Linked DNA regions of Tamandua tetradactyla. The protein of the gene in region 2 purifies or fractionates together with the protein of the main gene of each other region. This does not show direct contact. Links are inferred from orthologs where the notes say so. Each region holds a gene or a part of one and is shown on either strand. Other genes may lie near its edges.

Evidence for each region.
Region 1: the proteins of DCAF1 (region 2) and COPS7A purify together in Homo sapiens (affinity purification with mass spectrometry; 4 studies listed by BioGRID and IntAct, with this or other methods). This does not show direct contact. The link is inferred for Tamandua tetradactyla from reciprocal best matches to the Homo sapiens genes DCAF1 and COPS7A.
Region 3: the proteins of DCAF1 (region 2) and centrosomal protein of 78 kDa-like purify together in Homo sapiens (affinity purification with western blotting; 3 studies listed by BioGRID, with this or other methods). This does not show direct contact. The link is inferred for Tamandua tetradactyla from reciprocal best matches to the Homo sapiens genes DCAF1 and CEP78.
Region 4: the proteins of DCAF1 (region 2) and COPS4 purify together in Homo sapiens (affinity purification with mass spectrometry; 4 studies listed by BioGRID, with this or other methods). This does not show direct contact. The link is inferred for Tamandua tetradactyla from reciprocal best matches to the Homo sapiens genes DCAF1 and COPS4.

Annotation. Positions count from the first base shown.
Region 1 is NC_135333.1:69,008,619-69,016,212, reverse strand, and holds the start of COPS7A (COP9 signalosome complex subunit 7a), read right to left. Parts: upstream 3,009-7,594; 5' UTR 2,897-3,008; coding exon 2,871-2,896; exon of another isoform or gene 2,773-2,870; intron 2,761-2,772; exon of another isoform or gene 2,631-2,760; intron 2,381-2,630; coding exon 2,176-2,380; intron 691-2,175; coding exon 615-690; intron 382-614; coding exon 293-381; intron 1-292.
Region 2 is NC_135341.1:34,577,561-34,585,326, reverse strand, and holds the start of DCAF1 (DDB1- and CUL4-associated factor 1), read right to left. Parts: upstream 3,020-7,766; 5' UTR 2,913-3,019; intron 2,816-2,912; exon of another isoform or gene 2,765-2,815; intron 1-2,764. UniProt on the Homo sapiens protein: Acts both as a substrate recognition component of E3 ubiquitin-protein ligase complexes and as an atypical serine/threonine-protein kinase, playing key roles in various processes such as cell cycle, telomerase regulation and histone modification.
Region 3 is NC_135328.1:108,966,623-108,973,983, reverse strand, and holds the start of centrosomal protein of 78 kDa-like, read right to left. Parts: upstream 3,018-7,361; 5' UTR 2,907-3,017; coding exon 2,654-2,906; intron 1-2,653. Other genes in the region: centrosomal protein of 78 kDa-like, read right to left, coding at 5,627-5,784. UniProt on the Homo sapiens protein: Centriole wall protein that localizes to mature centrioles and regulates centriole and cilia biogenesis. Involved in centrosome duplication: required for efficient PLK4 centrosomal localization and PLK4-induced overduplication of centrioles.
Region 4 is NC_135350.1:44,643,842-44,651,102, forward strand, and holds the start of COPS4 (COP9 signalosome complex subunit 4), read right to left. Parts: upstream 3,005-7,261; 5' UTR 2,802-3,004; coding exon 2,728-2,801; intron 1-2,727. UniProt on the Homo sapiens protein: Component of the COP9 signalosome complex (CSN), a complex involved in various cellular and developmental processes.

The DNA.
Region 1 (7,594 bases), on a different chromosome or scaffold from region 2:
TTTTCTTTCTCTCTTTCTTTTTTTGCCTGTGTGGGCCTCTGCACCCACTCTACCAATACAAAAGATGTTTTATGCAGAATTTAAGTTGATTGAAAATTAAAATAAAACAAAAACTAAGAGAATAACACTCAGCCTAAAAGGTTGCAGGTAATGGCATTAGATACAGACCTCTGGGAGGCAAGGGGCACAAAGAAGTGACAGCTGGCTCAAAGGCTATCTCAGTACAAAATCCTTGAAGATGGTCCCTTGTGAACAGACTTCTGACTTACAACTGGGGGGGACTGCCACTCACCTTGACTTTGGCAGCCAGGGTGACAACTGATAGGTGCCGAAGCTTATTCTTCTGAGCTTCTGTGAGTGGGGGAAGATTCCGGGCTTCAGCTAGGGAAAAAGGACAAAGCGCAGAAAATCTTGACTTTAGTTTTGTGGGAAGCCCTAACCCCCTACCCGATTTTTCTCTTTTTTGTCTTCCATGCCAATCCAGGTCTTGACTCTGACCCTGCGCACTTAGGGGATCCAACTAAGGTATCCCAGGAATTTCTCTCAATTAAGTCCCTCTGGAAAGTTTCCTTCTCCCAACTCCACTCCTTCAAAGTTTCAACCCCACCGGTTACCTAGGTAGTCAGCGTATGTCCCATAAGCAAACACTGTGAGTAGCCGGAAAGTGGATGCAAAGTCGCTCTCAGCCAGCTGCAAGAATATGAGGGAAAAGAGGTGACAGGGAGGGCTTCCCTCTGCTCCCTCCCACCCTTGCCCTGTTTTGACCTCTATTCCTTGGCCCCATCTTTCTCCTGCAACGTGACTTCACCCAGCTTACCAACAGAAATTCTCTGCCTCTCTGACCACTGTCCCCACAGGGAGAACTCATTTCTATCTCCAGGCCTTTGTTTATGCTATTCCCCCAATTTACAATGTCTTCTCATCCATAAACCCTCACCCCCCCCACCAAAAAAAAAAATCACAAAGTGCTCTGATAGAAACACAAATCAGACATTACAAACTATACTGATAGGTCTTCAGACTATGTTTAATATTTCTGAATATGAGTATCTTTAGACAGTCTGCTGTACTCCCCAACTGACCACAGACTCATGCCTCCACCACACTCATCCAATGGCTATATGGCCAAGGCAGACACTTGAGTTTGTTGCCTGTGCTTCAGACCCACCTCAGCCAGAAGTTTGCATCACCCAGGCCAACTCACCCAGATCTCTACCTTCTCCTAACAGTGATCACCCATCCTGGAACTTAATCAATCTCTGCCTAAGGTTGTTACCTAAAGAATACCTTTCTTTTCAACAAGTCTATGGATGTGGTTTCTCACTCGGGATCTAGCAAAGGTAGGCATGTAGATAGCTCTCTCAGCAAATAGTTGTTAACTGAATGATTTATAGGTTTATATTCATTCATCTTATATCTTCAACTGGAATGTAAGCTTCAAATGGGTAAGTACCATGTCTCATACTTTTCTGGTGTTTCCAGACTACCAGCAGAGTTGTCTCTCTTAAATAGGCACCTAATAATGCTTATTTTTCTTCACACTGATTCTCTTTTGTTCTACTACAAAGGAAAGCAACCACAATTTTCCCTGTACCACAGAGTAATGCCCAAAGACTAAGAAATTTTTATATTTAGACATTTTTATTTCTAAGTATTTCATTTGGAACAGGAAACCTGTGTTCCAGCCTATCTTCTCAAGCGTAATAGCTCTTAATCATCATGTCATTTTGATCAGGTCAGCTTCATTTTAGGGGCTCAGTTTTCTCTTTTGAAAATGGTTATGATATTGTTATTGTAGGAACCCAGTGGGATTATGGATAAGTGTAAATGGAAGGAATGAACTTGTTAAACTAGCAGGCCCTGTCCTCCTTCCTTTGTGCCATATGCTAATTTATTTAAAGCAGATAAGGTAGAAAGTGACCCCTCCCCCAAAGACTTGTGGAAAGCTTCTGGAAACAGCAGAGAGAACTTAGAAATAATGACCAGGTTTTACAGAGCCTTCATCTTCAAAGGAAACTAAGAAGTTCACTTGCTTATTTTCTTTTGTGCCAGTTAGTCACAGTATTCTTATTCAATTGAATGGTTTTAGGGTTGCAAAATGAACCCTTGTCCTTCCATCTCAAATTGAAACTTAGCCCCAAGCTTCCCTGTGGACTTTTCAGGCCAAAAACCCACCTCTCTAACATTGGGCATATCCAGCAGTTCCCCAAACACGTAGACACCAGGGGCCTCCAGCACCTGGTGGATCAGTGTGGCCAGTGCTGCCCCCTTGGCTGACTTGGCCAGGAGTAAAAATTGCTCCTGGTTCTGCCCTGTCACCTTCACCTCTGCACTCATGGCCGCACTGTGCTGGGGGTATCTGGGTTCAGGATGTCCGGAGCTGCAAGGAAAGAGGATGTGAAGCTGGCATCCGTGAACGATGGCAGGATGGGAAGCAAAAGGGGGAGGAGCTGGATATCTGAGGCACTGAGTCACCACTACAATGTGAAATCAGAGATTAACTGGTCTAGAACTCGGATCTAGAAATCCAAAAACCGCCCAATCTGACCACAGCATGGCTGAGACAGGGATGCCAGGTCCACCCTCTTTCCCGACCCCCTGGGTCTAACCCCAAGCGCCACCACACGCACCCCACTGAGCCCCAAGACACAGGATACAGTGGGGGAAGGGGTGTCACATGATGCCCACCCCAACGACGACGAACTCCCTCAGTCTTCCCCTCGTGCCCCGCACGTGCCCCCGATCATGTGACCTCTCCCCCACACTCCTTACACGTGGCTCCGCCCCCTCCCTTAAAGAGGCCGCTCAGAGACCGTAGGCTTCCGCCGACTGCCCGGTCGTACCCTAGGTCACACTCTGCGGGTCACTACCTGGAAGCTCCGTCTTCCAAGTGCATCGGGCGGGGCCGCCGCACCGTCACCTCCGGCAGCTGTTCTGCGCCTTTCCTGCCACCTCCCTCCAGGGTCGCTCTAGCTGCTAAACTCTATGGCCTTCTTCCGGCCGTACTTCCGCTCTAAGGACGCGGGTATCTGGCGAGACAAACTCGGTCCCAGCCTCCTCACTACTGAAGCTCGCGTGAGGGACGCAGGAATCCTACTCTTTGATTGGCTGCTGGAGAAAGACTGACGGGTGTCTTTTTTTTCTGCTCTGATTCAATAAAACTTTATTGGTGGGAGAGCGTCTGACGCTAATCGCAGACGGAACTATTGGCCCCAGGCGCGTCCGAGTTGGCTTTGTGTGAGTTGTAAACAGCCCGAGACCTAGAGACCCAGGCTTCCCCGGATGCTGGACGCGAGACGGCAGTTGTAATGGCAGGAAAGAGGGAGAAGGAGGAAAAAAAAATGGGGGAGGCGGAACGAAAAGGATAGAGGAAGGAGTAATAATAATAGAACATTAGCGACAGAGGTAACCTAGATAGTTCAACCACTCATTTTTTGAGAATCAGGAGAAAAGAAGAATAGCTAACATATATTGAGTGCTTACTGTTGGTCAGGTGTTTAAAACATTTTTATCCCAGTGAATCCTTAAAACTGTTCTGCCTCCCCAATCTAATGCCAGGACGCCCTCTACCGCGACTGCAGCATGTACTTGTGGAGTGATGCTGTCTATAAATTGACCTCTTATTATTACTATTATTATTTCCGGGGGAGGAAAAAGCCCTAGGTTGGAGGAAGGCATATGTTTTATTATTCTGATTTTACAGATAAGGAAATTGAGCTCATCAGAACTCATGGGTTTGACTGGAACCCAGATCTTTTCAAACCCAAAGCTGTCTTTTCTGTCACCTGTTACTTTAGAGAGAGAGAAGGAAAAAAAAAAAACCCTAATATTTCTATAGTGTTTTATGTTTCATTTTAGGTCTGCAGAAGGTCAAATGAGAAGAAAATTAGCGGCCTGTTGGAGGCTTTTGTGCCAAGCACTGGGCTGAGACCTTTACGTAACTCACTTGATCTTTACAACAATCTAGTGATTATCTCCATTTTCCAGATGGAAAAACTGAGGCCCAGAGAACTTAATGAACTTGTAAGTAATGGAAAGAAGACTAAGGGGAAGAAAAAAAAAGAAATTAAGAGAAAGACATAGGGCTAGTAGACTGTTAGAGCTGAAAGGACTTCAAGCTCAGTGTTTATGGTTTACACCCTTTAGTTCATGATAGAAGAATGAGAACCAGGCGTAGGGGAAGGAGAAACAGCAGAGGGGAAGGGAGGAATGCACAAGGAGGAGAATGGAAGAGATGAAACATAATAGTGAGGGGAAGGTCAAGGCATAGTAAAATATTCAAAGTACAAAGAAACCAATCTTAATTATTTTAAAGAGGGAAACAAAAAAATATATAAGAAGAAAGAATGAGAAAAGAACGAACATTTGTTCTATTATGTGCCAGGTGCTTTATTTGTTCAATTTTCTCCTCAGTCTTTACAGTGACTCTTTGAGGTGCATATTAATATCTCATTTAATCTGTGAGGACACTGAGGATCACGGAAGTTAAGTAATTTGTTGAAGGTCACCAGGATTGGTGGAGCTAAGATCAATCCAAACATAAGTTTATCTGATTCTAGCCTGTTCTAAGAAAGGGAGGAAAGAAAACTAGCTGTTTCCTTAAAGCAAATCATGCCATCTTGTGGTATCTCTTCTGTTTCTGCAAAGTGAGAGATTAGATGATGGAATCTCAAAGCCAATTCTGATTCAGATGTTTCATATTTCTGTGAGAGAAAGAGGAGTGAGTGGAAAAAAACGAGAGAATAATTGGTTGAGTAGGGAAAGAGGAGACTTCAGAGAAAAAAAAGGAGGGAAGAAGACTAAAGAAGTCGGGTTAGAAAGAACAGAGAAAAGAGGATGAGTAAGGTTGAAATAGAAAAGAGAAAGGAATAGAAGTGGGGAAAGAGGGAACAATGGGAAGAAAAAGTTCTCCAAAGGGAGGATGGGAGCTAAGTAAACATGTGAAGCTCAGAATGTACATTCATTCACATGTTTTTTTTTTTACTAAGCAATGGTTATGTACAAGGCAATGGACCAGGTACTGTGTTCTTAATGGTAATGATAGAGAGTAAGATGTGCAGAAATAAAACTAGAAAAGTTGACGGGCATGCAACTGGTCAGACATAATAAAATATTCATTGTTGATTCAAAAGGTATATATTGAGTACCTGTTGTTTTCAGGCATTGTTCTACCTACTGAAGACACAGAGAAAATCCATGCCTTCTTGGTATTTACATTCTTGTGGCTGGACTCAGGCCCATAAGTAAATAAATATATAAAAGAAAAACAAAATCAAGCTAAGGGGGTAAGGGATGCAGAAGTTTGCTAATTTATATAAATATACCTGATAAGGTAATACTGGAGCAGAAACGTGAAATCTTTAAGGGAGCAAGTCATATGGATTTCTGTGGGAAGGTATTCCAGACAACACAATCTACAAGTCCAAAGGCCCTTTGGACTTGTAGATTGGTGGGAACATGCTCGAAGAGTTTGAGGAACAGCAAGGTGGTCTGGAACTGAATGAGTTAAGAGAGAGAAGTAGGTTATCCTTGCAGAGGATAACTAAGCCTACTTAAAATTAGGCCTAAGAGTCACCCCCAGAGAACCTCTTTTGTTGCTCAGATGTGGCCCATCTCTCAGCCAACACAGCAAACAAACTCACTGCCCTTCCCATCTCTATGTGGGACATGACTCCCAGGGGTGTAAATCTCCCTGGCAGTATGGAACAGAAATCCTAGCATGAGCTGGGACTCGGTGTCAAGGGATTGAGAAAACCTCGACTGAAAGGGGGAAAAGAGAAATGAAGCAAAAATAAAGAGTCAGTGGCTGAGAGATTTCAAATAGAGTCGAGAGGTTATCCTGTAGGTAATTCTTACGCATTATATAGATAACCCCTTTTTAGTCTAAGGTATATTAGAGAGGCTAGAGGGAAGTGCCTGAAACTGTAGAGCTGTGTTCCAGTAGCCATGTTTCTTTAAGATGATTGTATAATGATATAGCTTTTGCAAAGTTGACTGTGTGATTGTGAAAGCCTTGTTCTGATGCTCCTTTTATCTACAGTATGGACAGATGAGTAAAAAAAAATGGATTAAAAATAAATAAATAATGGGGGGAACAAATGTTGAAATGAATTTGAGTGGAGGGAAATACTGGTAGTCGATGAGAGGGAGGGGTGAGGGGTATGGCATGCATGAGTTTTTTTCTTTTTTCTTTTTCTGGAGTGACATAAATGTTCTGAGAAATGATCATAGTGATGAGTATACAACTGTGTGATGATTTTGTGAGCCACTGAGTGCACAGCAAGTATGGAATGCTCATACATTAAGGATGTTCGTGTTGTATGTTGATTGGTTTTATTAATAAAAATTAAAAAAGAGAGAGAAGCAGGGATGAGGACAGAAAGATTAACAGGGTGTAAAGGTGTAACAGGGTAACCAGACTATGTCAGGCCTTTTAGGCCATTAGAAAGACTATGGCTCTTACTCCAAGTGAAATGGGCATGCAGTAGAGGATTTGAGCAGAGAAGTGACATGATCTGACCCACGTGTTTAATATATTATGATGGATACATAGAAGCAATGAGAGCACTTAGGAGGCTATTGCAGTGATCCAGGCAAGAGATAGATGTTGGTGGCCTGAACCAAGGTGGTAGCAGTAGAGGTGGAGAGAAGTGATTGGATTCTGGATTTAATTTGAAGATAGAGTGAACAGAATTTGTATATGGATTAGGTGTGAAATGACAAAGGAAAAGAAAAGTCAAGGATGACACTATACAAGCAAGCTGCACCAACTTTCTAAGTGCAGCTCATTTTAATTTTAACTTTTCCAGATAATAGGAAAAGAAAAAAACACTCCTCAGCTCTTTTTCAGCCAGAATTACTTTGATAACAAAACCAGGAAGGAACACCACTAGAAAGAAAATTACAGACCAATCTCACTCATTAATGGAGATACCAAAATCTTCAGTAAAATGTCAGCAAATCAAGGAACGAGGTGGAATTGCAGAAACAAGAAAAAGAGCAACTGTTCTGAGCAGAAGAGAACCTCACCAAGGACCCACAGCTGCAGTTTGTGCAGCAAACCATACAGGGCATTCAACAGCAACTGCTGACCATCCAGGAGAAGCTAAATAACAAAAATCAGAATTGAAACAAGCAGAAGAGCAGTCCCACAAGCAGGTGTTACTCAAAGTTCTCCAGGAACAATTAAAAGGCACCAAGGAATTGGTCAAGACCAATGGCCATAGCCATGAGGATTCAAATGAAATCAATGTGTTGACAGTTGCATTAGTCAACCAAGATTGAGAGAACAATATTGAAAAAAGAAGCCTAGGCTTAAAATCAGAGAAAGAAGCTCTGCTAATAGGCCTCATATCCACATTTCTTCACTTCTATCTGTTTGGAGCCAATATAGAGTACCTTTGGTCACGCATGCAACAGCTGGACTCCAAGGAATTCACTCGTGTAGGAGCAACACTGTAAGAAAGATGGAAATCGTGTGTCTTTGAAGGAATTAAAACTACTTAACTGTGAAGAGCCAAGAACCAATGGAAATTAAACTGTCCAGGGCTGGCCGGGGCTGTACCATCTTACACAAGGCTCTCGCAGGAGGACT
Region 2 (7,766 bases):
ATTAGAGGAAAGAGACTCCTTGGTCTCTTTGATAGAACTACTCTAGACTCTGCCCTGCCCTGCCTCCCCATTACCCCATTACCACATTCCACCTCCCACCCCAACCTGAGAAAGAAGCTGAAAGGTCAAGGATCTGCTGAGCAACAGAGAAAGTACAAGAGTGGCCCAGCCCTGGTCCCAAGCACCAAGGGCCACAGACTCAGACACCCTCCCGCTGCCCCTGCCCCTAATCATGCAAACTCCTTGGAGCAGGAAAATTGCCAAATCCTCTGGGCCCTGAATATTTCCTCCATCACCCCCCCCCCCCCATCACCCACCCCTTCTCTCCCAATACTTTCTAGCTCAACCGATTAGGTACTCCCACCAGCCCATCCCCACCCTGGTACTGCCCCCATAACCATGTGATTCCTCCCACAATTATCTGGGACTGGGAGGTGAGGCAGGCTATCTCACAACCATTCCTGTTCTCCTGTTAGCTGGACAAGACTGCTGGGTTACCTAGGAATATTACAGGAGTCACTAAGAAGAGGCTCGGGGTTGTCAGCCTCTGGGAACCTCAGCCTGGCCAGAGAAATCCCTGTCCTTCAGCTGGTGTCCTGTCCCTACCACATTCTCCAAGAGAAATGCAAAGCAACCTTTCATCTGAATCCCACATCCACCACTCTCATTTTACAGAGAGAGAAACTGAGGCTTCACTAAGGCAAAAATTTAAGCTCCCACCCTGTCCAGTGGCCATAGCAGCTGCAGTCTCCAGGAGTCAGTCCTCACATCCTGCCCCCACAGGTACTACTTCATAGAGGTACCTGAGACTCAAGTGGGAAATGAATAAGCAACTCCTCTTCCCTCCCCAGATCCAACATATGGGCCCCAGCCAGAGCAAGGAGCCCCCAGAGGACACCATACAATATTTATGACATATTTGTGTTTTTTAAATTATTGTTTACCTAAAATCCAACAAACTGGACATCCTGTATTTTATCTAGCAACCATACCCCAGAGCCATTGCACAACCACAGACCCCCAAGTATTTCCCTCCCATGGCCCCCAGGGCCTTACTTTAATTATCTGCAAAATTGTAAGAAGCATATCAGAACAGCCACCTCTGGTGGATCTCATTCAAGATTAGACAGGTCCAAGGATCCAAGGATGGCTTATCCTAAAGCCAATGATCTGGGAGATAGCAGACTCAAATTCCTTCCTTTCACCCTTCTCTCTTTAACCCTATCATTAATGGTCAGGAATGAGAAAATAGAGTAGTTTCTTTTCTTCTTTAGTGAGGAGGGTTTGTACTAGGAGAAAGTTCAGCAGTTGAGTACAGCTTTGGAGGCAAACAAATTTGAGTCCCAATTCTGTCACCCCCATTTATCAGTTGTGGAACCTCAGCTCAGTTGCTTCATCTCACTTGCACTTCAGTTTCCCTGGCTGGAAAATGGAAATAATACCTTCTTTCCAATGATATTGTAAGGGTTAAATATGATAATGCATGTAAAGTGCTAAGCGTGGGGCCTGGTGCACAGTAAGTGCTGGATAAGTAATGGCTATTCTGATTTTGATTATCATCAGTCTGTACCTGTCCCAGTTGGAGTTCCCCAGGTCAACCTTAGCCCTGGCTGATTTCTCTTTGCCCTCAAGGTTGCCTGTTGGAAGAACTCAGGCTCTCTATATTAAAATGAGGAACATGTTCCTTATAAGAAATAATCCCAAGGCACCTTTTTAGGAGCACTGGAAAGTAGTGGAATATCCATTCTTGAGGGTCACCTGGCCACTCTCCATTCCAGGAGAGAAATGAAAATGAGTTCATCAAAGGGTAAAGGTTGGAAGCTCTACTTCTGGCTTCCTCATGCCTGCAAGGACTACAGTTGATTGAGGGTAAAGGGCAGTCAAGGTGAAAAAATCCCTTGGATGTGAAGTCAGACATGTCACCATCCCCCACCAGCTCATCACTTATGCCCCTCTGCTGGGATGAAGTCTGCATCTGGAACCTTTGCCCAGAGTGCACTCCCCTACTTCTCTTGGGATCTCTGGTAAGATGGTGATATTACAGTCAAAATAGAGGCCAAAGCAGGAAGCTGGAGTGGGTGGTGAAGATGATATACCAGGTCCTTCCAATGGGCCTGCCCAGCACAAAGCAGGGGCTGACGCAGGAAGAGGGCCAAACTCTGGGCTCCAGATACTCCCAGGGCAGGTCGGATCCCCCAGCCTAACTACCAAGATGATAGCCTATCATTTCTGCTCTTCCTGAGGCCCTACCCTTCGCAGAGGGCACGTACCAGGAATGGCTTGGAAGTTAAGGAGTGGTTGCAGGGCACTTAAGGAGGAAGCAACAGTCAGAGGTATCCTGAATTTCCTCATGCCAGTGTACCCCTACCTTCTTTTGCCCAGGGTAATTTATAATCCCCAGGTTCAAGAGATTATAAATCCTTTTGGGAGGAAATGAAGGTGGAGTCAGCCTTAGGAAAGATTCTGGTATCTCGGCCTTGCCTCCAACATACCAGAAGCCCCTGTTTTTTTGGCGATATCTATTTTTGTAGCTGTTGAGTCCTTTGTAGAAGATTCAGGGAGATGTGGCCTGACCCATTCAGAGGTACTCTAGAGATCGCTAGGGCAGACCCTGGTGGAGACACAGGTCAGATAAAGCCTCCTACTCTATCAGTTACTTTACTTCTAAAGTATCTACAGAAGAATGGCTTTGTCTAATGGACAAACATGGGAATGACTCAATTAGGAAGTCCAAGGCCCTCTACCATCACCTGGAGTAACCCACCTTCTGCTCCTCCTCAAGCCTGACTGCCACATGCTAGGATCCCTGAGAGGTGTTGCCAGATATAACCAAGAATACCCAGTTAGGCTTGGGATCCCAAGTCATTAAGAAGAGATATCTCTAGGTATGGAAAGATATCCTGGGGTCTTACCATGGGGCAATTCCTCTACATTCCCTCAGAGGTAGGGGTGTCTCTCTATGAAATTCCCATGATGTTTCCAGGGGACAGCCGTTTGTCAAGCTCCTACTTCATCAGACTCAGACTTGTCACAAAGACAGCCTTTTATGAAGTCACAACCCAGCCCCCTCCCCACAGGACCAGGGACCAGGACAACCAGGGACCAGTAGGCAAGGGAAGGGTTCAGGAGCTGCCTTTGGACTTTGGAGATGGATGTAAGGTCTGGAAGAGCTCACTGGATCTCTCTAACCCCACGCTGTAGGGAGTGGAAGAAGAGGAGGAACTTTCAGGGACCTGGAGATGAGAAGAGTTTCTCAGGTCTCAGTCACTGCCAGGAGGTGAGAACAAATGGGGCCTACAGCTTTGGTTCTTGATGTCTTGCCTGTCCCTTGTCATCTGGCGGGGGGGGTGGGGGGGTGGGAGAGTGGGAATAGGACCCCTACCCTGACTAAGTAAAGATAAGTGTCCTCATCACTGATGTTCTAAGTGTTTCACAGCAAAGGGATTAAGACTCTGAGGCAAGGACTAGATCATGCCCTTACTGTCATCTATCCATGATCAACCACCTGAATATTCCACTTGGTGTCCAGGGCAAGCGCATGCTATCAAATTCTGCTGCATTGACAAGTAGACTTGATGACCTTGAGGCTGGGCCACCCAAAGGGAGAAGAATGTCAAAAGAAGAAACTGGGAGTGCCAAGCACCCACTCTTCCCAGAGTGTAGAGATTCCCTCCTCCCAGAGCCAATCTAGGGGTAAAAAGGAGGGAGGAGAAAGCTTCACACCATCAAGTGTAGAACGTCGGTTGCCACTGTGGATGATCACAGTTTAGGGGGGTAGAGGAGGGATAGAAAGAGCCACTTGTTGGAAGCCTTATTTTAAAAATAAATGGGGGGGGGGGGGTGCAAGGGTAGTTCAGTGGTAGAATTCTTGCCTGCCATCCAGGAGACCCAGGTTTGATTCCCATCCCATGTAATTCCCAAACAAGCTAGGAAACCAACAAAAACAAACAAACAAAAATTCAACAAAATGGTGCTGCAATAATAGGATACTCACATGGAAAAAGAATGAAATATGACCCTGCCATATAGCATACAAAAGAAAGAAAGAAAAAAATAAATGAGGAAAATTGTGTTTCAAGTTAAGGATTCTAGCATTCCTGCTCTGTGCCTGACCCTGTGCCCACTGGACTCTGTGCCCACGAGGACACTACACCAAGGAATTCACAAGCTCTGCCCTCAAGGGAACCACAGTCTAGGGAGTGAGTGGCTATGCCTAGCTGTCTCCCTTAAAGAGAAGGCTGCTGTCCCATGAAGTGGTCAGGTAGCTGGAACCCAGGATCCACACTTCCCAGGCCAGGGCCCCAAATTTTTCTAAAGGTAAGAACAGTCTGGGATCTTGAGGACTTCTGGAAGTTGATCTGAGGTGTGTCCCACTGCTCTCAAAGTCTGCAGGTCTGGGGTCTTTGGATCGTTTATTCTGTTGACAGTGGCTTTTCCCCATGAGATCCCAGGCCAAAAAGACCTCAGTTTGCAGCTAGAGGCTCTTGGTCATATTGAGTGGCTGGTTCAAGCTATGCCTCCACAGAGACCTTCCTGCTGCCTGTTCTATGGGCCGGCAGAAGCATTGTCAGGGCAGACCTGGCCTAAAAGGCGGAAGACTAGAGATTGACCCTGGACAAGTTTCCCCATCCACCCACTATGAGGAGGGGAGTTTTACTGGATCTGTGGTTTTCAAGTTTCATTAGTATTATTTTACCACAGAATCTATCTTTTCCCCCATGAGATATTTTTGTCTTACACATTTTTCAAATTGTACTATTAACTATTGTCCATTATTTAACTTTGGGCTCACTGTTTGTGTTGTTTTTTTATTTTATTTTTTTTATTTCTATTCTAGTAACATATATGCAAACTAAAATTTCCCCTTTTAGTCACATTTAAATATATAATTTGATGCTGTTAATTACATTCACAACATTTATAGTACCATCACCACCATCCATTTCTAAAACTTTTCCATTGTCCTAAATAGAAACTCTGTACGTTTTGAACCTTAACCCCCTAGTCCCTACCTCAACCCTGTTCTCTGGTGACCTATATTGTGGATACTGACTCTGATTTTGCTTATTTTAATTCTTTCATTTCATTGAGATCATACAGTATTTGTCCTTCTGGCTTATTTCACTCAACATAATGTCTTCAGGGTTCATCACTGTTGTCACATGTATCAGAAATTCATCCCTTTTTATGGCTAAATAATACTCTGTTTTGGGTATACACCACACTTGGTTTATCCACTGGCTGATGGATTCTTAGGTTGCTTCCATTTTTGGGCAATCATGAATAATTTCACTTTGAACATTGGTGTGCAAATATCTCTAAGTCTCTGCTTTCAATTCTTTGGGGTACATACCTGGAAGTGGGATTTCTGGGTCATATGGTAATTCTATGCTTAACTTTTTGAGGAACTGCCAAACTGTCTTCCAAAGCAGCCGCACCATTTTACATTCACACCAGCGATGAGGGAGTGTTCCTATTTCTCTACATTCTCTCTAATGCTTGTAATTTTCTATTCTGTTCATGGTAGCCATTAGTGAGTGTGAAGTGGTATCTCATTGTGCTTTTTCTTTTTACATGGGCAGGCACCGGGAATCAAACCCAGGTCTCTGGCCTGGCAGGCGAGAACTCTGCCTGCTGAGCCACCGTGACCCTTCCTCTCATTATGCTTTTGATTTACATTTCCCTGATGGCTAATGATATTGAGCACATTTTCATGTCCTTTTTGGCCACTTGTATATCTTCTTTAAAGAAATATCTATTTGGGTCTTATGTCCATTTTTTAATTGGTTTTTTTTTTCTTGTTGAGTTGTAAAATCTATTTATATATTCTGGATATTAACCCTTTATTAGAAAGGTGATTTCCAAATATTTTTTCCCATTGTGTAGGTTGTCATTTTACTTTCATGATAAAGTCCTTTGAGGCACAAAAGTTTTTAATTTTACCTTATACCCAAAGCAAGAGCAATGAAGAAAGAAAGAAAGAAATGGGAACTCCTCAAAATTAAACACTTTTGCGCATCAAAGAACTTCATCAAGAAAGTAAAAAGACAGCTTACACAATGGGAGACAATGTTTGGAAATGACATATCAGATAAAGGTCTAGTGTCCAGAATTTATAAAGAGATTGTTCAACTTAACAACAAAAAGACAGCCAATCCAATTACAAAATGGGAAAAAGACTTGAACAGACACTTCTCAGAAGAGGAAATACAAATGGCCAAAAGGCACATGAAGAGATGCTCAACTTCCCTGGCCATGAGAGAAATGCAAATTAAAACCACAGTGAGATATCATTCACATTCACCAGAATGGCCATTATCAACAAAACAGAAAATGACAAGTGTTAGAGAGGATGTGGAGAAAGAGGCACACTTATTCACTGTTGGTGGGAATGTCAAATGGTGCAACCGCTGTGGAAGGCAGTTTGGCGGTTCCTCAAAAAGCTGAATATAGAATTGCCATATGACTCGGCAATACCATTGCTAGGTATCTACTTAAAGGACATAAGGGCAAAGACACAAACGGACATTTGCACACCAATATTTATAGCAGCATTATTTACAATTGCAAAGAGATGGAAACAGCCAAAATGTCCATCAACAGACGAGTGGCTAAACAAACTGTGGTATATACATACAATGGAATATTATGCAGCTTTAAGACAGAATAAGGTTACGAAGTATGTAACAACATGGATGAACCTTGAGAACATTATGCTGAGTGAGACTAGCCAAAAACAAAAGGACATGGTCTCACTGATATGAACTGACATTAGTGAATAAACTTGGAATATTTCGTTGGTAACAGAGACCATCAGGAGATAGAAATAGGGTAAGATATTGGGTAATTGGAGCTGAAGGGATACAGACTGCAACAGGACTGAATACAAAAACTCAGAAATGGACAACACAATACTACCTAACTGTAATACAATTATGTTAAAACACTGAATGAAGCTGCAGTTGAGAATGATAGAGGGAGGAGGGCTGGGGGCATAAATGAAATCAGAAAGAAAAATAGATGTTAAAGATCAAGATGGTATAATCTAGGAATGCCTAGAGTGTATAATAATAGTGACTAAATGTACAAATTTTGAAAATGTTTTTGTATGAGGGAGAACAAAGGAATGTCATTACTGCAGGGTGCTGAAAATAGATGGTTATTAATATTTTAAAATGTCACCTTATGTGTGAGACTTAAGCAAAAAATGTTTATTTGGTACAAAATTTATATTTTGACTAGTGCATTTCTTAATATAACTTATGTAGATAGTTTGATTGAACATCATAAGTACTTGGAATCTCAGGTAGGACATGAGATTTTGTTGGTTTGTCCAGAGTGATGCCCCGATGAATCCCAGAGTGATTCGATCAGTGAATGGGAAAGTATTTGCAACAAGCCCCCTTCAGGGAATGGTGAGAACAGGGAGAAATTCAACTTCCCCAGGTTGAGTTCTTGATATTCTCACAAGCAGTGTGGACAACCAAAGCTAGGCTGAACTCCCAGTCTTGGGGGTTGTTCATATGAAACTTAACCCCACAAAGGATAGGTCAAGTCTACTTAAAATTTAGGCCTAAGAGTCACCCCCAAGAGAGCCTCTTTTGTTGCTCAGATGTGGCCTCTCTCTCCAGCCAACACAACAACAATCTCACCACCCTCCCCCTGTCTACGTGGGACATGACTTCCAGGGGTGTGGGCCTTCCTGGCAAGGTGGAACAGGAATCCTAGAATGAGCTGAGACTCAGCATCAAGTGATTGAGAAAACC
Region 3 (7,361 bases), on a different chromosome or scaffold from region 2:
TGAATTTGAGTCTGGAAAGATGAGGATGACTATGTGGAGTAGGAGAGGAGGCTGCTTTAACAAGAGATCAGTGCATGCCAAGGAACCCAGGCCTGTCACATGCACCCAGGCACTGTAAATAGTGCAGCTGGGTATGGCTAAAGCCACAGTTGTGAGTTAGGAAACAGCCGGAATTATGTTAAGAGGTAGGCCAAAGCTAGAGGGAGGCTGGCTTTTATCTAACAAGTGACAAGGTTCAGGAGTGCCACTGGCCTGTTCGAAAAAGGTGCCAGACCAATTCAAACAAAGAACAAGTAGAAAAAGGCACCTACTTCAGACAGATCAATTAGAAAAGGCACCTCTTCCTCAGCAGAGAGGCCCCACAAAGCTTGACCACACAACTTAGATTTTAGCTCCCATCTGCATCCCTGAGTGCAGAGCACACACTACACCATCAATACACAATGGTCCTTATAAGGACAAATCATTTTGAGTACACTAGGCTTTTATTTTAGAAAGATCACTCCGGCTGAGGTAGGCAGATGAACTATGAGAAACAGCTTGGGATAGCTAAATGAGTCAGAAGCTTTTACAATAGTCCAGGCAAAACCTACTTAAGGATGAACAAATGATATACAGGAGGTGAAAATCTACATCCCACATGCAGTGCATGTGGGAGACAAGATTCAGTTAAGGAAATTTGAAGAGTAATGGTCCCTGTAATGCATTTTTCTTACATTCAATGTAAACTTAAAATATTAGACAAGATTACAAACACTAGCATGACTAATAATTTTAAACTCTGCAGTGTGATTGTGAGCAAGTCACTGAAATCTATGCATCTGCTACCTCTGAAAATAAAAGGTGACAGAAATTGTTGCAAAGGTCCTTCCAACTTTAAATTTTTTTTTATTTCTAAGTTATTACTTTGGTGAAGTCCTTTCAGAGGTAAAGAACAGTTCCTACACCAGAATGAGATGCAGTGCATAATCTGACTTCTCTTGAGCAGAGAATGTGCTTAACTGTCCTTGATGTTGAGATAATACATGGCACTACCCCAGAGCCTACATGAGGGCCAAGAACATGGCAGGTGTTCAGTGCTTGTTGAATAAATTAACAATATTTTTCTGTTCTAGATCTTCATACCGTTCCTCTTGGCCAACTCCTTCTTCTCAGCTTATAAATGTACTCAAGCCCATACACTTCACATCTACAATTTTCAGGACCTTCTTTGTAGGTAGCCTTAGTCATTCCCAAACCTTCAAACACTTGACTTTCATAAAACCCAAATCTGTATCTTAGGCCAAGACCCCCTTCAAGCTACAGGTTTCCTAACAGGCATGTATGCACGCTCCTCAGACTGGTGAACTAAGATCCTCTCCCATCCCCAATCCATTTTTGTTGTGGCCTGTATCTCGGTGAAAGGTGCTGCTCTGAACTATCACCTAAGCAGGTCACCTGGGAATTCTTCTGCCTCGTGTCTCTTAATGACCTCTCTCTTCTAACTGGTCATCAGGATCTATCCATTCTCTTTGATTTCTGAAATACAATCCTTCTGGCCAACCCCATACTTTATAATTAGAACCTCTAGATGCCAGGATTCAATTTGCTTTCAATACACTGCCCTCCACAGGAGAATGGAGTGAGGTCCTGAATCTGAGGCCAATCTCATCACTCCATCAACTTAATGCCTCAGGGATTCCTCATAGATATCAAGGAAAAATTCTAAATCCATGACAGGGCAAACAATGTCCCTTGCTTCGGATTTTAACATTCAAATTTTGGCTCGTCTCAAACTTTAAGTTCTAGTTCAGTTCCTCACTTTTGCCATATTGTCTCATATTCCCAAGACTTTTACAGAAGTTGCTCTCTCTTGCCATCAGACTACCTTCTACACAGTCTTCAAAAATAGATCAGATAGCACCTCCCTCCTCCAATTTCTGGGGCTCACTCTACACAGCACTGACCAAGAACTGTGTTTACCTGCTGCCTCCCCCAAGTGAAGGAGAGATTCTTTTAGGTCAGGGGTTGTATCTCCAGTGCAGTGCTTGGTGAGCCCATTCTAGTGCCAGAATGCTTCATACAATCTTTAATCTTAAAACCCTCCATGGAAAGAGCTGTTTTTCATGCCATTTTACGAATGCAGGAATTGTAGTTCAAAGAGTACATAACTCGTCAAGGTCATATAGAATATAAATCCTCGAATTCAAAATAGCCTGTCTCCAACACCTGTGCTCCTTCTATTTCACGCTACTAATAAAAACAAAAAATTTTTTTAACATAAATGGCTTAATAGAAAAAAAATCAAGAAAGAAGCTGGAACGTATCATTTTCTAAACCGCTTTGTTCTTTGTGAGGCAAGGTCATCAGCAAAATAGGTTAGTATTTGTCCAAGGCTTACTGATGTTCCAAATTCTGTGCAACATGCTGTACAAGCATGAACTCAGTTGGTGAATCCCTGAGTTCTGTCACCCAGCCACGTTAGAGGAGAAAACGGAGGCTCGGACATCTAGATCGCCAGGGTCCCCCAGCTGGAAAGGGTTCTAGGCTGCAGAACCGTCTACTGCACACACGCCCCGCGCTCGACACCCACAGCTCCCACCCGTTTCGCGGCTAGTCCAGAGGGAGGCACGCCGCACCGACACCAGGGGCACTGGCAGCGGGAGCTACAAACCTGTTTCCCCAAGCCACGGTTGGAAGTAGCTCTTTATAGAGACCAAGGGCAGATCTTTATTAACCTTGAGGGAGCTCAGGAGGGGCGCCCAGTCCACCACGCGGAGGCGGTCGGCGTTGAAGTCCAGCACGCCCTCCTGGAGGCAGGCGCGCACGGCGGGCAGCGGCACCGAGTCCTGCAGCGCGCACAGGTACTCGTAGTGCGAGAAGAAGTCGGCCGTGCTGTCGCGGCGCAGCTTCACCGAGTCGATCATGGCGAGAGGAGCGGGGTCCTGAGGAAGACCCGCCGCGGAGACAACGCCCGCACCCACCGAGGAGTTCCGGGCTCGCCGTCCGCCACCCTCGGGTGTCCTCGGCTCGGCAGCTGCGGCGCGACGCCTTTCTCAGGAGGGCTGCTGGGCCCGAAGACGCAGGCCCTGGGTCCAGGCTAGAATGGCCCCTCGATGCCGCGCTCCCGCGCCACCTCCCGCCTCGCTGCCGAGGCCGTTGGCACCCGCCTCATCGTCTACCTCGCGCGGATACGGTTCCAGCCGGCGGGAGAAGCCAGCGGCGGTCAGCGCAAGCAGACGTCAGCACGCTCGCCATTGCGTCCGCACGCAGGCCACGCCCCCTTTTAATGGGCGGGCCGGGAGAAGGCGCCAGGGCGCGCAAGACAAAGAAGGGAGGTGGTTGTATGAATCTGGGGTTTGCAAAAAGCGCTAACATATCAGGATAGAAGTGAGATATGAACGTAACTGTGGTGTCTTTAGTCTAAACTTCGAAAATTGTATTCTTGTGTTTGCAGCTCTTGGACAGAGTACAATCAATAAATAAGGGATATATGAACGATTGCTTCAGTGTTCACTGTTGTCCATTAAATGTCTTTTTAAAAAAAAGTTTTTTAAACTTTGTCCGAGTTAATTCCTGCAAATTATTCTGTTTCTAGCTAACTTCCACCGTTGCTGCCGAATTAAAAAGTGTTCTCTGAATTGCGGACATTATTGTGAATACTGTAATTATTGATTACCAATAATCCCTGTCTAAATTAATGAGAAAAACAGCAGACACTGCAATAACGAGTCATTCTACAATATACCTGTTAGTCCTCTTCACAACTTGCAGGGTAGTCAAGCCCAAGGAAAATTTGAGTAATTGTCACAGGCAAGAAGTGTCTAAGGAAACAACAACTCAATGTTATGTGGCATCATGGATGGGATCCTGGATCAGAAAAGACACTAGATACAAACTTTGGAAATCTAAATGAAATATGTACTTTAGTTAATGAAAATGCATCGATACTGGTTTGTCAGTTGCAAGAAATGTAAGGTGTTAATAATAGGGAAAACTGGGTGAGGGATAAAAAAATATTTGACAAATTTGCATATATTGATATAGGAAGATATCCATGATACATTGTAAAATGAAATAGGCCTTACAGAATAGAGACAAATATTATGTATGCATATATACTCATGAGAATGTAAGATACATGAGAGAAGAGACTGTCTTACTTACCTGCAGCATCTAACTGATACATAGTGGGCACTAATAAATATTTGTGGACTGAATGTTAAGTACACAGAAAATGACCTGGAAGAATGAACAGTGCATTATTATCATTAGTTACCACTATTGAGGGGAGTAGGATGGAATGGTAGTGAAGACTTGCAGTGTTTGTACTCTAAATTTCTGATGTTTAGTTTTAAAAGTATGCATTAATATTTGTGCTTCCTGGCTCCTAATGTGCTTCAATCCCAGCAGCCAGCCCCTGAGTCTTCTTTGCTAGGCTGCTCTCAGGCTATCAGAAATGGCTAGTAACTAGTTTAACTAGTAACAGAAGACAGGGGTGTAAAAGCTCTGACAATTTAACCCTTGTGCAATGCAGAGGTATACTTTTTGTCGTCTCTACAGCTCACCTGAGATTCAACCTAATTTCACTGACTTCAGGGTGCTTTATTTCAAGTTGCATCCTTTTAATGGTCTCCTTCCATTACAAGTTCCCTGGATTTTCTCAGAACCGCTCCTCCTCTCAAAGTCTGCTTCCTCTAAGTCACCTGTATAATTTCTTAAAATTTTCTTTAAAAATCAGTGCTTATTGGACAATAAGATAATTGACTTTCTCAAACCTTTCCAACGTGCAAGATTCTAAATTTATGTTAAGAAATATCCAGGCACAGCTCCATAATTTACGGGGCCCATCAGAAAATGGAAATGTGTGGCCTCTTGTTCAAAATGCAGAAAATAATGGGGTTAAAGGTAGAACTTTTTTCTTTCTTTTGAAGTTCCTTTATTTGTCATTATGTTTTTTTATCTACTATTGACTGAATTTCAAAGAAATGAAAAATTAAAATTTTACATTAGCCTGAATTTTCCCGTTCACCTTTATGTTGTGCAATGACATTATTAAATGCAAACCTAAGAACTTCTCACTTGTATGAGAAATCTCCAAAATTATGCAATTTTTATTCTGTAGCTTACACATGCATATATATTTCATTCTTATAGAAGTGCTGCACAAAACTAACTTAGTTTTAATTTCACTTTTGTGTGTGTGTGTGTGTTCTGATCTTTCCCTTGATTTATTTTTCCATTTCCCTACTTTGCCTTAATATCTCCACAAATGTATAAATTAATGTGACAGAGTGAACTGAAAGGTTTAGGAGGCGAAAGGGTGAGAAAGAAGAAAGGTACACCAGGAAATTTAAAGTGTGTGTAGGGGGTATTTCTGTGCTCCAGGCAGAACTCATCAAAGCCAAGATGGAGGGAGGTGAGTGCACATGCGGGCTTTGGCACAGGCAGCTTTTAAGGATGGAGGTCAGGTGACGTCTGGAAGGGGCAGTTCATTAGTTCCGGAAGTCAGGCTGGCGACACAGCCTCCACAGCTCCAGTTGCAGTGCCCTTCCCCGTTTCCCCGACCTAACATTCCAGCCTTTTTGTGATAATAGGGCGCTGAGATCTTTCTGGCTACTTCCTGCTGTAATGGGGCAGCGTGGGGTTATAGGCCGGAACCATCATGACTAGGGGAGTGGGGAGGCTGGCTGTAGGAATCTGGTGAGGAGGGCAGGTGATGATAATGATGCAGGAGCATCTGGTTGACTGCTATCCAGGATAGTTCCTTCATGCATCCCTGAAGGAAGTTGAGGAGGCAGGGAGCTAGGAGAAAAGAGACAGATTAGGATAACTGGTCCTAGTAGCGGGAGGAGCCATGTCGTCAGAGGAGAAGAAAACCAGCTTAAAGCAGAGTTGGTTCCTCGTTTTCTGTGGTAGAGATCGTCTCTTAGTTTGTTTAGGGTTTGAATATTTTGTTCCACCAGACCTGACTCATTGACGTAATAACAGCATTCCTCTTGGAGGAATATACACATTCCTTTTTTCAGATGTCAGCAGATCTAAGGGCCGTCAATTTTGAAGAGTTACCTGTGCTAGTGAGATAAGTTGGTAATGTAAAGAGGAGAGGGATTCTGATGTCAATTCCAGGGCTACCTGTAGTCAAGTTTCGAAGATTTGAAAGGTTAAAATACCATGTCCCAGTGCCCCTCCCAGTGTGGTTGAGGCTGCAACTGAGGCAATTAGGTTGATGCCTCCCATGATGGGAAGGAAGGCAGCCCTTTATGAGCGAGGAGAGGGCAGTAGCCAGGTTAGTTCGGACTCCCCATAGAGGGTCAATTGAGGAACAATAGTAACCAGGAAGCATGGTCCTGGGGCAGTGGAATTAAGGCACTTGGTAAGAGTTCCATTACACCAGAAATATTGTCCTTTGGGGGCATGGGTGCTGTGGATAGTGACGTTAGTCTGGCACTTGCTATGAAGTTTTGTTTGAGGGTTTTTTATCCAGTGTAGTGAGGTTCTTAATTTGGCAAGAAGATCTTGCCCCATTAGCGGGCCGGGGCAAGAAGGCATTACTAAGAAAGAATGTGTAATGGGGTACCCTTCTATTAAACATGTAAGAGGCCCAGTACTTAAGGGGCGTGAAGGATGGCCGTCTATGCCCATAACTGTGACCTGGGAAGGAAGGAGTTGACCTGAGTAAGAGGGGAGGACAGAAAAGATAGCCCCTGTGTCCACTAAAAAGGAGGTGGACTTAACCGCTACCTTGATTGTTACGCTGGGCTCAATGAGGGTGATTGAGGTCTCTGAGGCCGGGCGTTGTCAGTCGTCAATGGCCAGGCCCAGGACTGCTAGCAGTAGGTTAGGGGTTGGAAGGATGGCCGCTCCACGGCCAGGCGCCAAGGGGCAGTCACTTTTCCAATGTCCCTTTGTACCACAGAGAGGGCATGGTCCCTTGGGCGGTCGAGGACTGGGGCACTGGTAGGACCAGTGTCCGTCAAGGCCACATTTGAAGCACTTTCCTGGTGGTGGATTAGTCGTACCCAGTTTCGTCTCTGTTGAAGTGAACCGCAGAGCCGCAATCAGGGATTGGGTTTGTAAAGTTGCCTTTTGGCGGTCCCGGGATTCCTTTTCTGCCCTCTCTAGTTCATCATGAGTATTAAAAATTTTAAAGGCAGTGTTTACCAGGTCACAGATAGGGGCCTGAGGACCGTCCTCAATTTTTTTAAGTTTACACCTTATATCTGGAGCCAATTGGGATATAAAGTATGTGGCTAAAACAGTTTTACCAGCCTCTGAGTCGGGGTCTAGGCGGGTATATTGGGAGAGGGCTTCTGCGAGCTGGTGTAGAAAAGTGGCCAGGTTTTCATCAGGACCCTGGGTAATTTCCCTTAGTTTATGGA
Region 4 (7,261 bases), on a different chromosome or scaffold from region 2:
GTAAATATCAGATGCCACTGTGCATGAGAAGAGCAGCTAAGTAAGTCCTGTCTGGGGGTGGGGTCTGTGCATTCATTGGTGGTTGTTTAGAGAAGTCTGTCTAGAAAAAGTTAACATCTGAACTGATTTTTGAAGAACCAAGTAGGTTTTAGCCAGGTAAGACAGATTATCACAAGAACTATCTACCCAAATGCTCCCTCTCAGACTCTCTTCTTCTAAAGTTCTTTGAAATATTTTAGGAGACTATTCAGAAGTAGTGAAGTTAACTACAGGAAATTATCAGGAACTTCCACATACATTATAAGAAAATCATTCTGTTTTCTTATGTCTGTATTGTCCTAATCTTTCAAATCTAAATTTAAAGTTAAAACTTAAGAATTTTATTAAATATGCAAATTGTTATCCACCATCTAAGTACTTTAATTCTTTATGCTTCACCAAAGTAAATTACCTATTTTCAGTTATCTCTACCTCTAAAAAGCTAGTTAAATTCTCCACAAGTTTGCTAATAACACAATAAACTGGATTTCAGTTCATTGTGCTATTAGCAAAACCAGTAGAAACTAGTAACTAAAGGAACCTGTTTTTAATTTTCATACTTCAGTGTTTAAACAAAGTTCTAGTTTCTCAGGAAACTCTTAAGATCTTATACTACTAGGAGAGACTAACTTGATTTTAAAAAGAATCATTTATTCAATAATTAGATATCTTTTTTTAAATTTATATTGCCTGCCAAATTAGCAACATTTTCTTTCATTGTTCGTTTCTTTTAAATAATACTTGACATCGGCTAACGTGTTATGAGACAAGTAGTCTCATAAACAAGACATACAATATACGGCAACAGACACTAAGCCTTTAAAATCTTCATGTCCTTTATTATACCCACCAATTCTCCTTAGGAATACTTCCAGTGGGAAGAATCCATTTAGATCCTGTACCTCCAGCTGATTTCACCTACCTTAGTGAACTCAAATGAAACCAGCAAAATAGCCCTATTAACTCAAAGAATCCTGAGAAATACTAGCTGCTTTTACACCACTAAGTTTTTGAAGTGTTAAACAATAGATACCTTAGCATCTCTGAGATAGGTAGTAGTATTTATTTCCATTTCAAAGCTGAAGAAGTAAATGCTTAGCTAAAGCTTCTGAATTCCGCAAATACTTGAAAAGCAGTGTCCCTTTTGATAACTAATACATTTATTTTCTTCAAGAAACTAAAAAGCAAAGCAAGCATGGAGAAAAATAAAAGCTCGTTTTACTTCCATCCAAATCTATCAAAATTACATGCAATAAAGGATTGAACCATGGAAACAGAGTTAACTTATTTTCACCCATGAAATGAGTCAGTATGTATTTACTTACTGCCAACAGCAACCTTATAGCACCAGGTACTGTTCTATGTGATACGAGTGTACACAACACACACACACACACACACATTTCATTTTGTCCTCAAACACACATTGACTTTATCCTCAAACAACTCTACGTATAAGTCCTATAATTATTCCCATTTTCCTGATTGGGGTATTGTCTCACAAAATAATTAAGCCCAAGATACACAGCTAAATTTCACAATGATAAAAGCAGATTATATTTGGGCGGTGCAACGGTGGCTCAGGGGCAGAATTCTGGCCTGCCATACCAGAAATCAGGGTTCAATTCCCAGAGCCTGCCCATGCAAAAAAAAAAAAAAAGATAATATTTGCCACCACAGAAAAGGTAGCACAGAGTACCTTAAAAAAAAGAAAATAAGGGTCAAAAATTCAATGGCCAGGTAAAGGCAGGTGTATCCCATTAACATAAATCGGTGTGGTCTACACTGTCAGGATATAAACATTGGGTCAACTTGAAAGGCATATTTTTAACAGAATGCTTGTTTAGTATGGGAAAGGAGGGCTGAGAAATCTACAAAACGAAAACGGTATATGATTCATGTACACTTTTATATATGTATTTTTATACTTACATACATTTATGTATGCATATTTAACATTGCTAAATATCTGGCTGCAGGTCGATGAGGGACAGGCATAATGTCAAAATATTTAATTTGAAGTGGACCTAAGCCTTTACATAAATTCTAATAAAATTACTGAGCAATCCAGATTCTGGAAATTACCAATCTAGACATCCTGATTCACATTATAAGAGCATTCCGCCTTATGCCAAAAATATATGCCCCCTTCTTCTGATTCGGCGGCTTAGTGAGAGTAACAAAAAGATAAGGACCCACAGGAGATGGTCCAAGTGGTTCTAAACACATGATAGCGGCCATACCTCCTCAGCCTGCCAGCTCTGAGAAGCTGTCTCCCGGGAAAACTCTGCACTGGAGCCTCGGAATACAAATGTCCCTAAAAAAAAAAGTCTCAGAGAGGCCAGAAGTCGGCTTGAAGCCGAGTAGCGACGGGGAAAAAGCACCGGAGGAGGCCGAGGCCTGTCTCGCAGGCCGCGATTCCAGGATCCCAAGACGCCAGTAAAGATGCTATCGAGGGCTGAACAAGTTGTCATTCCAGGTCTACGGCCCCAAGCGCCCCTCCACAAGGTCCCCTCCAGCTTTCTACTGCTCCCAACATTTGCTTCTCCCATCGACCTCAGGTCCGCCCCCCTTGGTCGTGGGCCTCGCTTTTCGCTCATACGCGATAGTCGCCGACAGTCCATGGAGAACTTGTCCCGTGGCTTCCCTCCCCACCTCTCTACTCCCGTGCACCTGGGAAACACTCACTTGCCCGCCAGATCTTTATGAGAGCCGCTCGAATTCATTAGCTGGGCCAAATCTTGCCGCACGGCTGCCGCCATCTTCCTTCCCGCTCAGCCGGGGCTGGGAGAACCTTTCGCCGCCAAAAAGAAAACGAGGTGGTCCTCCAGAGCGCAGTCAGAGGGAGCCCGAGATGCCACAGAGTGGCGTCTGTGTTGGCCAGAGCGCCGAAAAAGAATGGGTGTAGAACCTGACCTAGCTCCTCCCCCAGGGCCGAGTGACGCGAACTCCCCAACTCACGTCAGAGGCCAGCTCAAGTCGCTCTCACAGGGTGTCTGACTTCAGATTGGCTGATCAGCTCCAAGTGCGTCACTTGTGCAACTCCAGCAAGTGCCGGGTGCTCAAAACAGTCGCGTTTTCACTAAGTTCCGTGGCTCCTGTCTGTGGTTTACTGCTCCTCCTCCTTTAAGGCAGCACTGTTAAAATTACCTGTAGTAAAGAATGAGTTGTGTTTATTTCCAATTCATTACAGGCTAATACTTCTGTAAAATACAATAAAAATTGTCCCCATTTCCCCTACCAGTCTGTAATCTTTATGTAAGTTGATCATACATCCCAGTTTCTCCAGGATAGTGACATTTACATCTTTTGTCCTGAAATAATTATTAATAACGTACCCCTTTCACTGTAGAAACTGTTCTATTGGACGAAAAATTATACAGCCATCCGTAAGCATAAATTCTAATCAAAAAAGGAAAAAAAATTCCCAAGTGCAAAAAGGGAAAAAGACTCCCCCCCAATTCACTTTTCTTACAACATATTTTAGAAAACCTGACATTGTAAATCCTTTCTCTGCCCCTTTGAGATGTATTTAAATCTTCTTAAAAACTACGTAGTCTTTTGCCTGCCTTACAATCCAGGAATATTTTTCTCCAGGACCTAGGAGGTTTCTTTCTGAAATGTTAGCATCAAGGAAGTTCTCACCCAAGTCCCTATCTCCATAGTAGTTTAACTTAGGCATCTGGCTCCAAATTGTTAACTATCTATACCTCTCATAGAGATAAAAGACATTTTATTTTTTAATAGAGGCAACTGGCAAACACAAAGACCACCCCCAATCACCAGGTGAATTTAAGATGAACTATGTGTGGCAAATGATACAGTCAAGTCCTTTTATTTGCAGACTGTTTATCTTGAAAACATGTTGTATCTGTTTGGCTATATAAAACAGTGGAATTTCTTTCTTTGCAATATCTTTGCGGATTATCTGTGATGCATCACATTCTGGTTTCATGCTTATTCAATAATAAAATTGTTTTTCTTTCTCTTCTACCTTTGTGGAGAAGTTTTCTGGGTTGGGAGAAGATTTTGTTTTTAGTTATTTCCTCAACACATCCTACCATCATGTAATTAAATTAATTACTCATTTATCCTCATAGTGTCTTTTTTTTGCAAATTCAAACAAATAAATGTAAAGTTTCCTCCTTCTTGCTTTCACAAAATGTAGCCCACCCTCTTAAAAAAAACTTTTAAAGATACAAAAAAAAAGTAGCACACGGTATCATTGCCCTGTTCTTGCTTTTTTTTTCTTTTAACTTTTCCTGGAGATTTTAATATGTAACTATGGAGAGGGTCATTCATAGAGCTGGAGAGTATTACTAGTGAAGTTATGCTATAGTTTTATGGCATCTACTGCATAGCTAGATATATGTATCATTTTATATGTGTATAGGCAGAATATATTCCCACATGACAATTGAAGGACAGATGTGGTTACAGTTTTGATAGATAGTGCCAAATGGTATTATTTAACCATAATAATAACCTCCTACCAACAATATATAGGACTGCAATTTCTTACGGCCTTGTCTATCATTAAGTTAAAAGCAGACTCTGAAAACCAAGATGTAGAATACATTTATTGATCTAAGTGATACACGTGAGAACAGAACTAAAAGAAATTTACTATTCAAAGAAAAGTGGCGGGGAAACAGTTTATATTCCTGCTTAGAACAAAGAAAGTATGGGAGAATGGGACAGGAAGGCAAGGAGGATGTGAGCTCCGTGAGTCACTTCGGGCAGGTCGTATTTGGGTTCCATAAATCTGCAAAAGCTGCCCAGGCAAAATGTTTGTGTAGGAATAGGGTTATCTGGTAATGAGTAGCTGACTTACTACTTTCAGCATGACTTGTTTGTCACAGTTCCTTCTTTCCCATGTAGGCAGAGGTCTTAATTAGCACCACAAAGGATTGTTGATATGTTAGCCTGCCCCAGTTACTTTTTGTTTCTTCTTTGTAGTTTCTTGAGTAAAAATGGAAGTTTAAGAAAATTAAGATGATTCCATGTTTTAAATTCAACTTCTATGTGAGACTAAAAGGAGAGATATTTATTTGGTGCAAAATTTATATTTTGGTTAGTGCATTTCCTAATTTAACTTGTATGGTCAGTTTAGTTAACACCATAAGTACATGGAATCTTGAATAGGGCATGAGATTTTGTTGGTTTGTCCAGATTAGTGTGCTGCCCCAATAAATACCAGAGAAATACGGACAGTGAATAAAAAAGTATTTGCAAAGTCCCCTTGGGGGGAATAGGGAGAAAAGGGGCAATATTCAGCTTCCCCATTTGGAGAATTTCTGTTATTCTAGCAAGCAGTGGGGACAACCAAATCAATATGCCAAGCCCTCGATCTTGGGGATTGCCCTGTGAAACTTGTTCTTGTGAAAGATAGGTTAAGCCTACTTAAAATTAGGCCTAAGACTCACCCTCAGAGAACCTCTTTTGTTGCTCAGATATGGACTCTCTCTCTAAGCCGACATGGCATGTGAACTCACTGCCCTCCCCTCTACGTGGGACATAACTCCCATGGGTGTAAACCTCCCTGACAACGTAAGACAGAAATCCCAGTATGACCCGAGACCTGGCATCAAGGGATTGAGAAAACTTCTTGACCAAAAGGGGGAAGAGAGAAATGAGACAATAAAGTGTCAGTGGCTGGGAGATTTCTAACAGAGTGAAGAGGTTATAATTAGGTTATCCTTACACATTATACAGATATCCCCTTTTTAGTTTATGGTGTGTTGGAGTGGGCTGGAGGGAAGCACCTGAACTGTAGAGTTGTGTTCTAATAGCCTTGTTTCTTGAAGATTATTGTAGAATGATACAGCTTTCATAATGTGACTGTGTGATTGTGAAAACCTTATGTCTGTTGCTCCTTTTAATAGGGTATGGACCGATGAGTATAAAATATGGATAAAAAATAAACATATAATAGGGGGAACAAAGGTTAAAATAAATTGGGCAGATGGAAATACTAGTGGTCAATGAGAGGGAGTGGTGAGGGGTATGGTATGTGTGAGTTTCTTCTTTTTCCTTTTTTATTTCTTTCTCTGGAATGATGTAACTGTTCAAAAAATGATCATGGCAATGAATACACAACTATGTGATGATATTGTGAGCCATTGATTGTATAACATGTATGGAATGTTTGTATGTTAAGAATGTTTGTATGTTTGTATGTTGATTTATTAATAAAAATATTTCTTAAAAAAAGAAAGAAAATTAAGCTGATTAGTAAAGGTATTTACTGTTCTAACATCACATTCCCTTCTTTTGGTCAAAGTACTCTCAGGACTTCCCAAAGACCAAGGGGGATTATCTTGTTGATTAAGGCCTTGGCAGACTTAGGATACAGATGAAACAAACAAACAAACAAAACAGTTTCGTTGTTCTTAGTCATTCAGACATGAAGTCGGTGAGCTATGGAAGGATTACTGGGCTTAAGAGGAGCAGGAGCATAAGCATAAAGAGAAGATTAGGGAAAGTGGAAAAGTATTACTATGTTACAACTCACTCCATACCACTACTCTTACAATCTTTCCACACCTTTTCCTCATAAATCCCTGAGCATGGGAATGGGAGGGTACAGGTATACAGTCTGTGATATTGAGAAATGAGGTCACAACTACAATATAAACAGCAATAAGATAGGCAAATATCAATTTTGTTAATACACTAAGGAGTTTTTGTGCTTAGGATGCCATATTTAGCAAATATGCAGGTGAAACTGTCCTAAATAGATGTCACAGATGGGCAGATCTTGTCTAGATGGTCTCTAAAAATAGAAATAACATGTTAAACAGAGAAAGAATAATTAGAATTAGGTAGTTGCCACTTTGAGGGACATCGGTGATTAATAATTATTATTTAATTATTCCAGTTAATTTAAGACAGTGGAGAATATTATACAGGAGGCCAATGTTACTTGAAACTGACACATATCTGCATACTTAACAGTCACTCTGGTTGTGGAATGTCTCCATGGCCATAGCTTAATTAAGGAAGATATTAGATGAACTTGAAGCAGGAAAAGAAGCCCAGAGGTACAAACATAAACATTTAGTGAGTATCTGAATGGGAAGGTCTTTTACCATAAGTAAAATTACTACAGAATTTTCTCCTATAGAGCTAGGATATCTGCTGCTAAAGAGCAAGTATCAGCTTATAGAACCACACATGCTGTCTCCCCATAGGAGCAGGTTTTAGTGTCAATTTTAGCAAC